3 linked regions of the Coturnix japonica genome follow. The protein of the gene in region 3 interacts with the protein of the main gene of each other region in a pairwise test. Links are inferred from orthologs where the notes say so. Each region holds a gene or a part of one and is shown on either strand. Other genes may lie near its edges. The genes, in order: C14H7orf50, transcription elongation factor A protein 2-like and THAP1.

Region 1 (3,651 bases), on a different chromosome or scaffold from region 3:
TCCTGCAGCACGGCACTCCTGCACAGTGCCACGTCCTGCAGCCACACCATTTCCCCACCCAGTGCCAAACTGTCTTATTTCTGTGCTCTGAAACGTGCCCTTGCTTTATATCATTGTGGTAAGCATCTTATTTTCACTTACTTTCTTATTTTCTGAGGGTGTCTCTGACATTCTCACCTAAATTTAAGGCAGCAATACAAAAGCAGCCTCTGCATAGGAAACTGAAAACACGATGCCCTGGGAAACACCCCGGTGACACTCAGTGCTGGTAGCATATAAATCATGACAGAGAGAAAAGAAACACACTTCAGCAGCTTATTTTTCCAGTGTAAGTATCTGGTAGATAACATTGTAAGGCTCAGGTAATTCACAGCAATATCCATACAGTGCTGTTATCTGATCCTTCTACAAAAGATATCAGCTTCCACGTGCTTCAGGTGACACCTATTCTCATTTCTATTCCTATGGTGGGTGATGCAGAAATCCATACGTGCAGATCCATATAGCAACAGCTTGCTGAGCTAAGCATGGGAACAGAAACATTTCTAGAGGAGAGTGACTTGCCGAGGCAAACAAGTTCTGCCAACATTTTAGCACCACGGAAGGTCAGTTGGGTTATAATTACATCTAATTAGAATTCTCATGAATTGCAACATCTTTTCATTTGAAGGCACTTATTGCTTTAAAAGGTATGACACTTATTTCCTATTTTCTAAGAATCAAAGAAAGGAGGCATTCTGACCTTGCATTTAGAAGTGAATCATCCTAAAAGAAAAGAGGAACGTCACTGTTAAGAGGAAAAGCCCTGTACAACCACCAGCACCCAGCTCTTCCCTCCTGCTTCACTGTTCCCTTCCTCCTGTTCAGCACCACTGTTACCTTTTCCAAGCATAATTCCTCCTTTTCTTTCCTCCTTTTCAAGAGGAGAATTCCTCTTCATTTCATCCCACAGAGCAGAAAAGATGTCCGTGCACTCTGAGAAGCATCACCTCTGAATAAATGTCTGACCTACAAAACAAGCTGGATTTTCCCTTGCATGTCGAAAGTCTACTTGCAGTAGAACTCTTCCAGTGAATTACTGTTCCCATTTTCCTTCGAAGGTTATCAAAACTGAAACAAATTCCCGATAAAGCTGAAGCCTCAGTTGTGCTCTCGTGCTGTGAACAGTCAGTCTCTTAACTAATAAAAATGGCTGCCTTAATTATTATATGGTACTTCAAGTTCCACCTGTAGTGCAGGAGATTCACTTGTCATCGGGGAATTAAAATGCCACCTCACTTAGCGTTATTTAATGTCAGGTTTTCTGCTGTAGGTGGGGCAAACCATAAATCCACAGCAGCCTTTTGTTTACCTCCCATTGCACTGCGGTCCCGCATCTGTAGGATGAGCTCCATGTGTCATTCACACCTGCAGCCCCACAAAACCAAACAGACTGAAATCCCTGACCCACTGAAGGAGTCAGGGCTTTTACAGTGGGCTCCAAGGACACAAGGAAGTCACAGGACACACAGGGCAGAACACACCCTACGGTTACGTTCATTTGGCAGTTCAGCATCTTACTGCTATCCCTGGTAAGCGTACAAAATTCAAACCATCTGTTGCTGACATAACCCCAGACAACGTGCTGCCATACCCAGAGCTGTGGGGCTCTGCTATTACAAGCCCATGCTGTGTTGCCAGCATACTGCTCGAGGTCATTTGGTGCAGGTTAAGTGAAACACTGCAGTCAAATTAGTTCAAATATAGTTTCATACTCTCTCATCTAACAAGGCACAAATCCATACAGATAGAAGCAGAATATCAACCCAAAAGCCCACAGCTTGCTCCTTTGCCTTCCAAACCTGAAAACCATTATCTCTAGATCCGCCACTTACTCGCACACATACCAGAGTAGAGTTGGAGCAGATGGTTCAAAGATAACTGTCAATCCATCTGCAGTTCAAAACAGTGGTGAACCATTCCAGCTGTTTTCCAGATCAAAACTATTATTGTCGTTTTGCTATCTCTGCGTGCTGAGGGTTATGTAACAAAAATGCAGCACATGTCCCTCTGCCTGGAATGCAATTAATTTCCTCCCTCCCCACTGAGAGTGGTAAGTAACAACTCAGACAGTCTGCATGCTTCAGTTTTAAGCGTGGCCAGAGATGCAGCGATGGAATGATTCCCCGTGGTAACCCACTGCTGGTATCACGCCAGCCCTCTGCAGGTTTTAGAGACAGGGTCTATTCTGTAGTTCAGGGAAAAAATAAATACTACTTTCCTGCTTATACATGACCTCTTACTGTCTGCAGCGTACCATGAATGCTTTGTTTCAGCTATTTTAAACATAGATGTTGCTTTATGTTGGAATTCAAAGTATTCTAAATCAGTATGCTAGCTAAAGTAATTGCTTCCGATCCGAAATAGGCCACTGGACTCCCTGTATACTTTGGTATGCAGAATTAAGGCACCATAAACTATTCACTTTAAAATGGTGGCATAATTGTGTCTTACTTTACAAATATCCAAATATCATGCATTAGGTTAAGTGAGGACTCTATAATGCAATATGCTTACATAGAGAGAACACCCAAATCTCCTTTGTTTAAAACAGCGCACATAAAACTAGTTCAACCTCAATGCAACCTTTTCTATAATATGCCCTTCATCTCTGTGAGTGCAGCTAATCCAGGGATATTTATATATCAGGTACAGGATCTCTGGGACAGGAGCTGTCTGTCTATAAAATGTTTGTGCCGTACTCAACATTCTTCAGTTGTTACTGTGCTATACATAAAATGAGGTGAAAGGGTGTCAACTGGAATGAAGCTTTAGCTTATTACTTAACTGCACCACTTTCCTCTAACACTTTATTTCTTGGTTCAGCTTGTTCAGGATTCCTGGCATGGTTTATAGTTTGCTTCTGCACAGAGCACCTGCAGTGCTGCTCGCAGCATTACCTGGTTAAATAGGCCAGAGCCAGTTCAGATCCTGACAGCTTCTTGGGTTCTGCTTTCTTAGTAGAGATTCCGGCTTCTCTCATCAGCTTTTTTTCTTCTTTCTTGCATTCTTTTTTAAATTTTCTTTCCAATTTCCTCCTTTCCTCTGGGCTAAGATCTTCCTCTTCATCTGCTGCCTGAAACAATAAACATTTAAATCAAGTGATTCTGTTTCTATAACAAGGTGAACAAAACATTCATAAATGCAACTGAAGGGAGGGCACAGTTAATATTTTAACCCAGCAGCTTCAGGCTTCATAATTTTACCATACACCAATGTGAAGCTTCTACACTGTTCAGCTCACAGAACTGTAAATGCTGCTCTTGCAGAAGTCTGCAGAGGCCTTTTCTGTCCTCTATAGTTGAGAACACCCATCTCAGCAGTACAGCAATCAAAGCAAGCACTTCCTTTGCTCGGTACTAAACATATTTCCAAGATTTATTGTGCTGTTTGTGCTCTTGTAATAAGAAGGGATATGAGCAGCAGAGGCTGCTCACAGTGGAGGGAGGGTATGGAATTTTTTAGCACATACACATGTATATGGGAATAACATTCCTTTAGGACTGGGACTGTAAGATCACACTGTCCTGGACTGAGAAAACCTCTGCCTTCCAATCATGGGCCTGAGTTCCCCTTTGTCAGAAGGGAAGATGTGACGTCTACCATCTTCTT
Region 2 (3,651 bases), on a different chromosome or scaffold from region 3:
GCCAGGGAAGGGATTAGTTAGCCCACAGCAGGGCAGAGCTGAGCTGGAAGCCTTCTGAACCCACAGCTGCGTGCACAGAGCCAGACAGCCTCAGGAACTGAGCACAGGGATCCCACTGCTGCCAAGTCAAAATCCTGTCTGGCTCTGCAGTGCCTCGAAGCCCTCAGATCATCATCAGAGCTGCTGGATTGCCACAGCTCAGAACCTCACTGGGCCCTATTCAGAAGGGCCCACCATGTACCTTCAGCATGCTGTTCGAGTCAAAGCAGAGCTGGAAGATTCATTTCTCTCTCAGATGAAATAAAAGCACTTTGAACATTCTATTGTCAGCTCACTTACACTCTTACCCAGTGAATACAGACTTGTTGCTAGCTAGTTTTACCGGTCAGCACTGCAACAAGCTCCTAAGAAACACATTTATTAGGTGTCCAAAGAGCTAAAAATACTCAACAGAATTTACACTGCATATAGAATCATAATATATGACAAGAGAAAAAACAACTGATCACTCCTGAGTTAGACCAAACAGGCTCCTGAGCTGTTCCAAAAGCTGGACAGAGAGCTATTTATTAAGCTTCAAAAGTTAGTTTATAATTAGAATAGTGGGAAATAGACCTCAAACACACCTAGAAGACTTATTTCAGGAAATCCTTGCGGTTCACACTGTTCCTGTTGAACAGGAGAAGGAGCTTGTAAATCTATCCAGACAACAAAAGTTCATGCACATACAAAAAACAAACATCTATGCTAAAACCAAATGGTGCAAAGCAACAGCCAGGGATTATAAACATAACTCAGGGCTGAACTGGAAGAAAAAAATCTCACGGAAGAGCTGAATTAAGGCCACAGATCCAAAACTTCCCAATAAAAGCTTCAGAGAGGCCCAGAAAAAGCTGCCAGAAAAACATTAGACATTGTCCATTAAGATGTACTACTGTAATGGCTGAACGTACTACAGCACAGGGGATTACAGTAATACAGCAATCATGCAGGTGCCAGCCCCATGCTGGCTGGCTCAGAGCCTGCAGGTCTATAGCAGCATTAGCTCTCCAGTCACTACAGAGGGATTGCTACATCTGTACTCCAGAAAGTAAGAGAAACTGCAAGCCAAGAGCTATTTGGGCTTTTCTCCCTGACAGAAGAGGAAGGTGTAGCCAAAATCTATCAAAATAAGTGGCTGAAGTATCTGAATACAAGCTGATCTCTCTGGTGCTTTGATAGCAGCCTCATCTGAACCTGCATGCATGCACTGAGAAGCAAGTCAGGCTCCTTTCATCACAGCCTACACTTCAAAAAGCAAAGCCAAGAACTCCTTGCTGCTAATATATATGTATTTTTTCCTCCAAGGCAGATTAACAGTTCATTTTGCAGCACAGGAGAATAAGCACTGCACTCTGCACAGCACCTGGCTCAGCCTGACATCAGGAGCTCACCACTATGTTGGATCTGTGCTAAGCTCCTCCCTTTGCTTCTGTTTATCCTTCACCAACCAAGGGGATGCTTTGCCATTCAAAAGGCTGGTGGAGGAACATACAACAAGGATCAAGGGAAAAACCAGCAGTAGCTGCAGCATACCCTCAAGGCACAGTGTAAGGGTAGCAGTACAAACCAGGAGGCCCCATTCCACACATCCTATGACAACCATCTGCCCAAGAAAGAAGGGGAGGGTTGTCTCACTACCTACAGCCAAGATCCCATTGAAGTTTCCCTTTTTCTTTCAACTGCAGTACTGCTTCCTGAATTAAACAGACAACTCTGTAATACTTGTCAGCTGGGCCTGTTGGGGAAGGGGAAAGGCAAGTGCTTCCACCTGAGCTCCTGGCCTTACACAGAAGAGCCAGCTGCCTCCCTTTAGCTGTATGGGGATGCTCAAAAGCTCTTACCTCAACCACTAACTCAGTTCCTAACCCTGCTAAAACTACAACAGATCTTTCACCTGTCCACACCCTGGAGAAGGGAATACCTGTCTGCATAACAGTTCGGTATTAAACACACCACACAGCTCACCTCTGAGGAAGCCTAGACTCCTAGTGAGCCTTGACCAGGAGTTTATGCACACAAAAATCCCCAGATACTTAAAAGTGAAAATTCAAGTAAGATGCTAAGAAAATATTCAAATTAGATAACAGTATCATCCCCAACTAAAGGGAAGCATTACCTTTGGTCTCTTGAGTTACCAGTTTCCTTTGAGGAAGATGTTGGCAAGGACAGGTTTTTCTTCTTCTCCTCACTTTTTTCCTCTGAAGCATCTAAATTTGGACAAAAAGAAAAAGCAAACTTGGATGCATCACTGTTCAGAACTGCTCTGTATGCTGCAACCCTGCATATACTAAGCAATGACTTCACAGAGTTGGCCCAAGGCAAATTGATCTACAAAAAGAATTTTAAAATGACGAAGAAAGCTTTTATAGCCTTGCATGCAGACCTCTTCCTTGCCTTTAAGAAGCTAACTTAAACAAAACCTTTCCCTACTGAACCAGAAAGCAGGGATCAGTCACCTTCCCTCCACAACAGATAAGCTTCCTCACAAGACCTGACTCATCACAAAAGTTCCTTTCAAAGAACCTGAGTGCCCAGTACAGATTAGATGAAGTTCTCTCAAGTGTCACCACATGCAGTATTTCAAGCCAACATCATCTGAAGGGCCACTAAGGGCTGGTCCTTCTGGGAGTCTTGCACTTCCGAAGTGCTGCTGAAAGCCAAGAGCACAGCCCTGAAGATGACTCTCATTACACTGTAGAACTAGTTTCATCCAGAGGCAAACTGTCTGAGCCAAGCCAACACGCATCAGCTCTGATGTGGAAAGGCCAGTTGCCGCTTCTGCTCAGTGCCAACCACCATGAAAGCCCCTCCAGCAGAAAACAATGTGAATTTGTCTGCAAGTTGTTAAACTGAGATCCTTCTCCAAGTCATCACCCAAAATCCATTCCAGTATTTCTCTTTCTAAGCTGAGGTACGAGGCTGACAGCACATGCTGTATGAATGCCACCTAGCACACAAGTCAGGTTAAGAGTACAGATATTGTTTCTATAACTAATGTTGCATTATCATATTAGAATAGTTCTGAAGCTTTTCCAGCTAACTAGCTATTGGGTTGACAACAGGATCTCAAACAACCAGTTTGCATGGCAGTAGATGAAACCCAATGCAATTGTCAAGGTTGGTTTGCTATAATGTTCTATATGGATGCACAAGTCCTCCTGATAAAACCAGCCTCCCACTGAAACCAGCACCTTCATAAGTGGAATCTGATAGGAAAGTGATTTTCTTACCTAGAAGTTTTTTCCAAGATTTGATGAGTGATTTGGCAAGAGCTATTACCTCTTCATCTGTGCTCTGCTTCCTCAGTGCATTCACTGACATACCAATGCGGGTGGACTGCAAGTGAACATGCACGTGAATTATTCAAGAACAGATACGTTATTTGTTACCAGCTGAAATCAGAAATAAGCAAAGTCAAAATAATGACGACGACACACAATATCCATGGGTTCCCAGAGCAATCTGCTCTTTTCAACCCCAAAAGCAAGGGATGGCAGTGCCCAGATTGCTGGGACTGATCACAAACCAGGCATCCCATCATTCCCAAACACCTCCTCTACATGTCTTAGTCATTTAAGTTTAGAGTGAAAGAATCCCAAATGTGCATCC
Region 3 (3,665 bases):
AGCAGAAGGGTTTGGTGATGTGATGAGCCAAAATAAACAGCTCTCCCAGCTCTGTTATGAATCCTTCCCTAAATACAGGATGTTGCTAAGATGACAGAAAGCTATTCACACTTCCACCATCGCTGCAATAAAGTTCTGTCCTGCATTAAAGTCAAAGCCATGCAGTGAGAGCTGTCATATGGAAGGAGTAAGAAAATAGGACTGGGTGGCTGGCAGATGGGATAGAGCAGAACACTAAGCGAGCTCATTCCCACATCATACTGCAGGCTTCACCATACTGCTCCAGATAGGTTCAGACACTTGCACGGTTCAGAACAATGCATACCTGTCATCACTTGGGAGGAGGTCAAAGAGAATTCTGATTATTCTGCCCCAGAGGAACATACTTTATTCAGAAATGCACACATAATGTATACTACCCGTTTAAAAAAAAAAAAACAAAAAAAAAACCAAAAAAAACCCAAAAGCCTAAGAATGTCTCAGTGAAAGAGACACTGAAACCGATTTTTTAATTCCCTGTCCCCAACATTATTACTACAAATAAAAGCATGAAGATGATCGCATCTTCAATTTTAACAGCCACCAACTGTCCCCTCTTGAGACTGGAAGATCACATTATTAAGCTTCTTGCCTTAACATAAAGAACAAGTCAACAGTCAGATTGGGAAGTACAGATGTCATCCTTGTACAAACTACATTAGGCACAGGAACTGAGAACACAGTTCCACTTCTGGTACTGAGGGGAAGTTTCACATTGCTCAGGTATTACTGATCACTTTAAAGTACAAAACCAGCCCACTGCCTGTGTCAGTTCTCAGTTATAAGAAGTGGATGCTCCAGGTGTGTCCATCTAAATCACATACCAATATTCTAAAATGTCTGACCTACAGCTTTCAAACTTTTCAGCTAAGATGACAAACCAAAGACATAATGTGCAGAGAGAATTCTGCCCATGTTAGAAGCACGAGCAAAAATGGCATTGTTGCCAGACAGCTGCATTCAGACAGAGGCATGTATTCAAGAGCTACGCAGCACATGCTGTGTTACTGCTGTCACTGTGTGTCACAGAGAGCTCATCGTTCATACTGCTCACACGTCACAAGTGAGTTCTTATTCCTTCTTACATCCAGTAAATGGTTGTCAGACATAGCTAAAAAAGTATTTCAAGAATTATGATGCAAAAAATGCTGTATCTCAAAATCAGTATGAATTTAAAAAAAATGCTGTCCTTATTCACTACTATTCAATGTCTTGAAGATACACTGAAAGCTGCTGTGACATAAATAGTAGCACCACCAACTCCTTTTCCATAAGGAGCCACTGTTCTGTGCACTCATAAAGCCAGGTACTGCAATGAATGAGAGAATGTGGCTCAGAACTACTGCATTGATGTCAATATTAAATACCTTCAGCTTTCACACTGCAATAAGTTTTGCAAACAATTTTAAGTGACATAGGAAATATGTTGCTAAGATTGTGGGGAACCGTCATCAAACAGATCTTAGCACAAAAAGCAGACCTGAAAATGGTCCACATTTCACTTTATACCTTGTGCTATGTATGGTCTCTTGCCTATTATTTCCACTTTTCATTTTCTAGATGTTCCTTCTTTATTTCTGCATTAAATCGAACATTGTATACTGTGTGGAAAAATACAGATGATGCCCTGAGCATGAGAAAGGGTTTATGTTAGCTCTGGAACACAAGTAAACTGCCTAAATATGTTCAATATTCAACAGACAGGCACTAGTTTTATATATTGTCAGTGGTGGCCAACACATACTCTGGAAGATCAAGAAAAGTGGCTAGCAGATGGTGCTCTGAATTATAACACAATTTTGCAGTTAATGCTATTTTGTAGGAGGCTGGACTTTTTGGGTTCTTTCACAGGGGCATCTGGATAGTCCTACCTGTAGCCATGACTTAATAGCTCTGGACCTGGCTAACTAGAACAAGACACCTGATGTGAAGCTATAACATTATGCTGATGATTTAATACTAGCCTCTGCAACTCTATCTGCAATAAAGAACACAGCAAGCACTGTCTTCTGATTTACAGGAGAAAGAATGGGCCATCAGTCCTGAAAAGTCCCAGGGCCTTGTATTATCTGTCATATTTTTGGGATGGTCTGATTGTGAACAATCAAAGCCCTACCCAGTGCAGTTAACACCCAGATACAAATGTCAGCCTGCAGTTGTTACAACAGGACAGCACCAGTAACACAACTGCAGTGATGACAAATGGCCTTAATGACAGGAGAAGCTGCACAGTGCATTTCGGCACCTGGGGCTGTGAGCAGTGTGCGCTTACCTTTTCACTGGGCTCAGTGTAACAGAATATAGTGGGCACAGCATTTTCTTTCAGCAGCTTGTTGTTGCACTCCCGCTTGAAGCAGTCGGGCGTGAAGTGCTCGGAGCAGATGCTGCTGTACTTGGTGGGTTTGAAGTTTTTCCTTTTCACCGCCGCCTCCCATTTCTTGCACAGGTCAGGCCTGGTCAAAGGAAACCTGACAACAACAGCTATTTTCAGCGTTTCTCAAACTCTTTATTCACGCCGGGCCCACCATCCCAGCCCCTCTCCCGCCGCCCAGCGCCCCCTTGCGTCGGGAGGTCGCACACCCGCGGCCCTGTCCCCGCCCTGGCGCCCTGCCCGCCCCGCCCCGCCCCGCCCCACCCCGTCCCGCCGCCCGCGCTCACTTGTGGAAGGAGATGGGCTTCTCTTTGTCGTATCGGTTCCGGCAGCGGTAGGCAGAACACGACTGCACCATCCCGCCGGCCCCGCGGCCGCCGCCGCCCAGCGGCGCGAGGAGGGGCTCCCAGGTGCCGTCCGCTCACCGTGGGGCCGCCATCGTGCCCCGTCCCCCCCCGCCGGTGACCCTCCGAGAGGGACGGCAACGGGACGCGGCCTCTCCCAACTCCAAGATGGCGGCACCAGCTTCAGAGCAACTCTCGCGGTGCTACGGCGCGCCGCCCTTGCCCATTGGTGGGTCCTCTCATGGGGGGCGGGGCCTCGGGAAGCAGATCGTCCAATCGGAGCGGCGCTCTGCCTTGCTCCCGCCCCTCGCTCCGGAACTACCTCAGGGGCAGCTGCGGCGCGGCGGCAGAGCGCCCCCAGGGCGGGATGGGGTGCGGGTGTGTGTGGGCTGCTGGGCCCTGCTGAGGTGTTAGGGTGAGCTAACAATACACCGACGCGATGGAGTACAAAAAGTTAACGCGGAGTGCGCTCCGCCGTACCATTCCCTGTATTACACCAGCGACTAACAGCAGCGGGCCGTTCCCCCGGAGCGCCCCATGTCCCGATCTCGCTGTCCCGTGCGGGGCGGGCAGCGGGCGCTGGTGTCGGGAGCAGGGGTGCGGGCAGCGCCCTATGGCGCACCCACAGCGGGAGCAAAGGGCAGGAGCCGCGCGAAGCAGCTCCAGGATGGGGTCCGGAACCCCTCAGAGACACAGGATGGAGAGAAGGGCAATAAGCCGGTCTATAAGCGAGCGCCGAATTCGGAGCGCGGCCCCTCGCGGAGCCCCGCGCAGCCCCTCTGAGCCGGGGGCCGGCGGCGGGGAGCTCGGGGGAGGCGGCGGCGTTGGGGCGGGCAGACGGCGGGACCGGGGCGGGGCGTGGGGCCGGTGGCGCCGGGAGGCGGCTCAGTCCCCGCTGAGAGCCGAGGGTT

What was found.
Region 1: the proteins of THAP1 (region 3) and C14H7orf50 interact in binary tests that used the Homo sapiens proteins (3 or more experiments, as listed by UniProt). The two-hybrid records come from large-scale screens. The link is inferred for Coturnix japonica from reciprocal best matches to the Homo sapiens genes THAP1 and CHLSN.
Region 2: the proteins of THAP1 (region 3) and transcription elongation factor A protein 2-like interact in binary tests that used the Homo sapiens proteins (3 or more experiments, as listed by UniProt). The two-hybrid records come from large-scale screens. The link is inferred for Coturnix japonica from reciprocal best matches to the Homo sapiens genes THAP1 and TCEA2.

The regions. Positions count from the first base shown.
Region 1 is NC_029529.1:2,396,152-2,399,802, forward strand, and holds part of C14H7orf50 (uncharacterized protein C7orf50 homolog), read right to left. Parts: intron 3,116-3,651; coding exon 2,940-3,115; intron 1-2,939. UniProt on the Homo sapiens protein: Hormone secreted from the intestine in response to cholesterol, where it acts to inhibit cholesterol synthesis in the liver and VLDL secretion,leading to a reduction in circulating cholesterol levels. Acts through binding to its receptor, GPR146.
Region 2 is NC_029535.1:8,417,588-8,421,238, forward strand, and holds part of transcription elongation factor A protein 2-like, read right to left. Parts: intron 3,379-3,651; coding exon 3,273-3,378; intron 2,250-3,272; coding exon 2,159-2,249; intron 1-2,158. UniProt on the Homo sapiens protein: Necessary for efficient RNA polymerase II transcription elongation past template-encoded arresting sites.
Region 3 is NC_029547.1:47,539,748-47,543,412, forward strand, and holds the start of THAP1 (THAP domain-containing protein 1), read right to left. Parts: upstream 2,810-3,665; 5' UTR 2,769-2,809; coding exon 2,698-2,768; intron 2,508-2,697; coding exon 2,312-2,507; intron 1-2,311. UniProt on the Homo sapiens protein: DNA-binding transcription regulator that regulates endothelial cell proliferation and G1/S cell-cycle progression.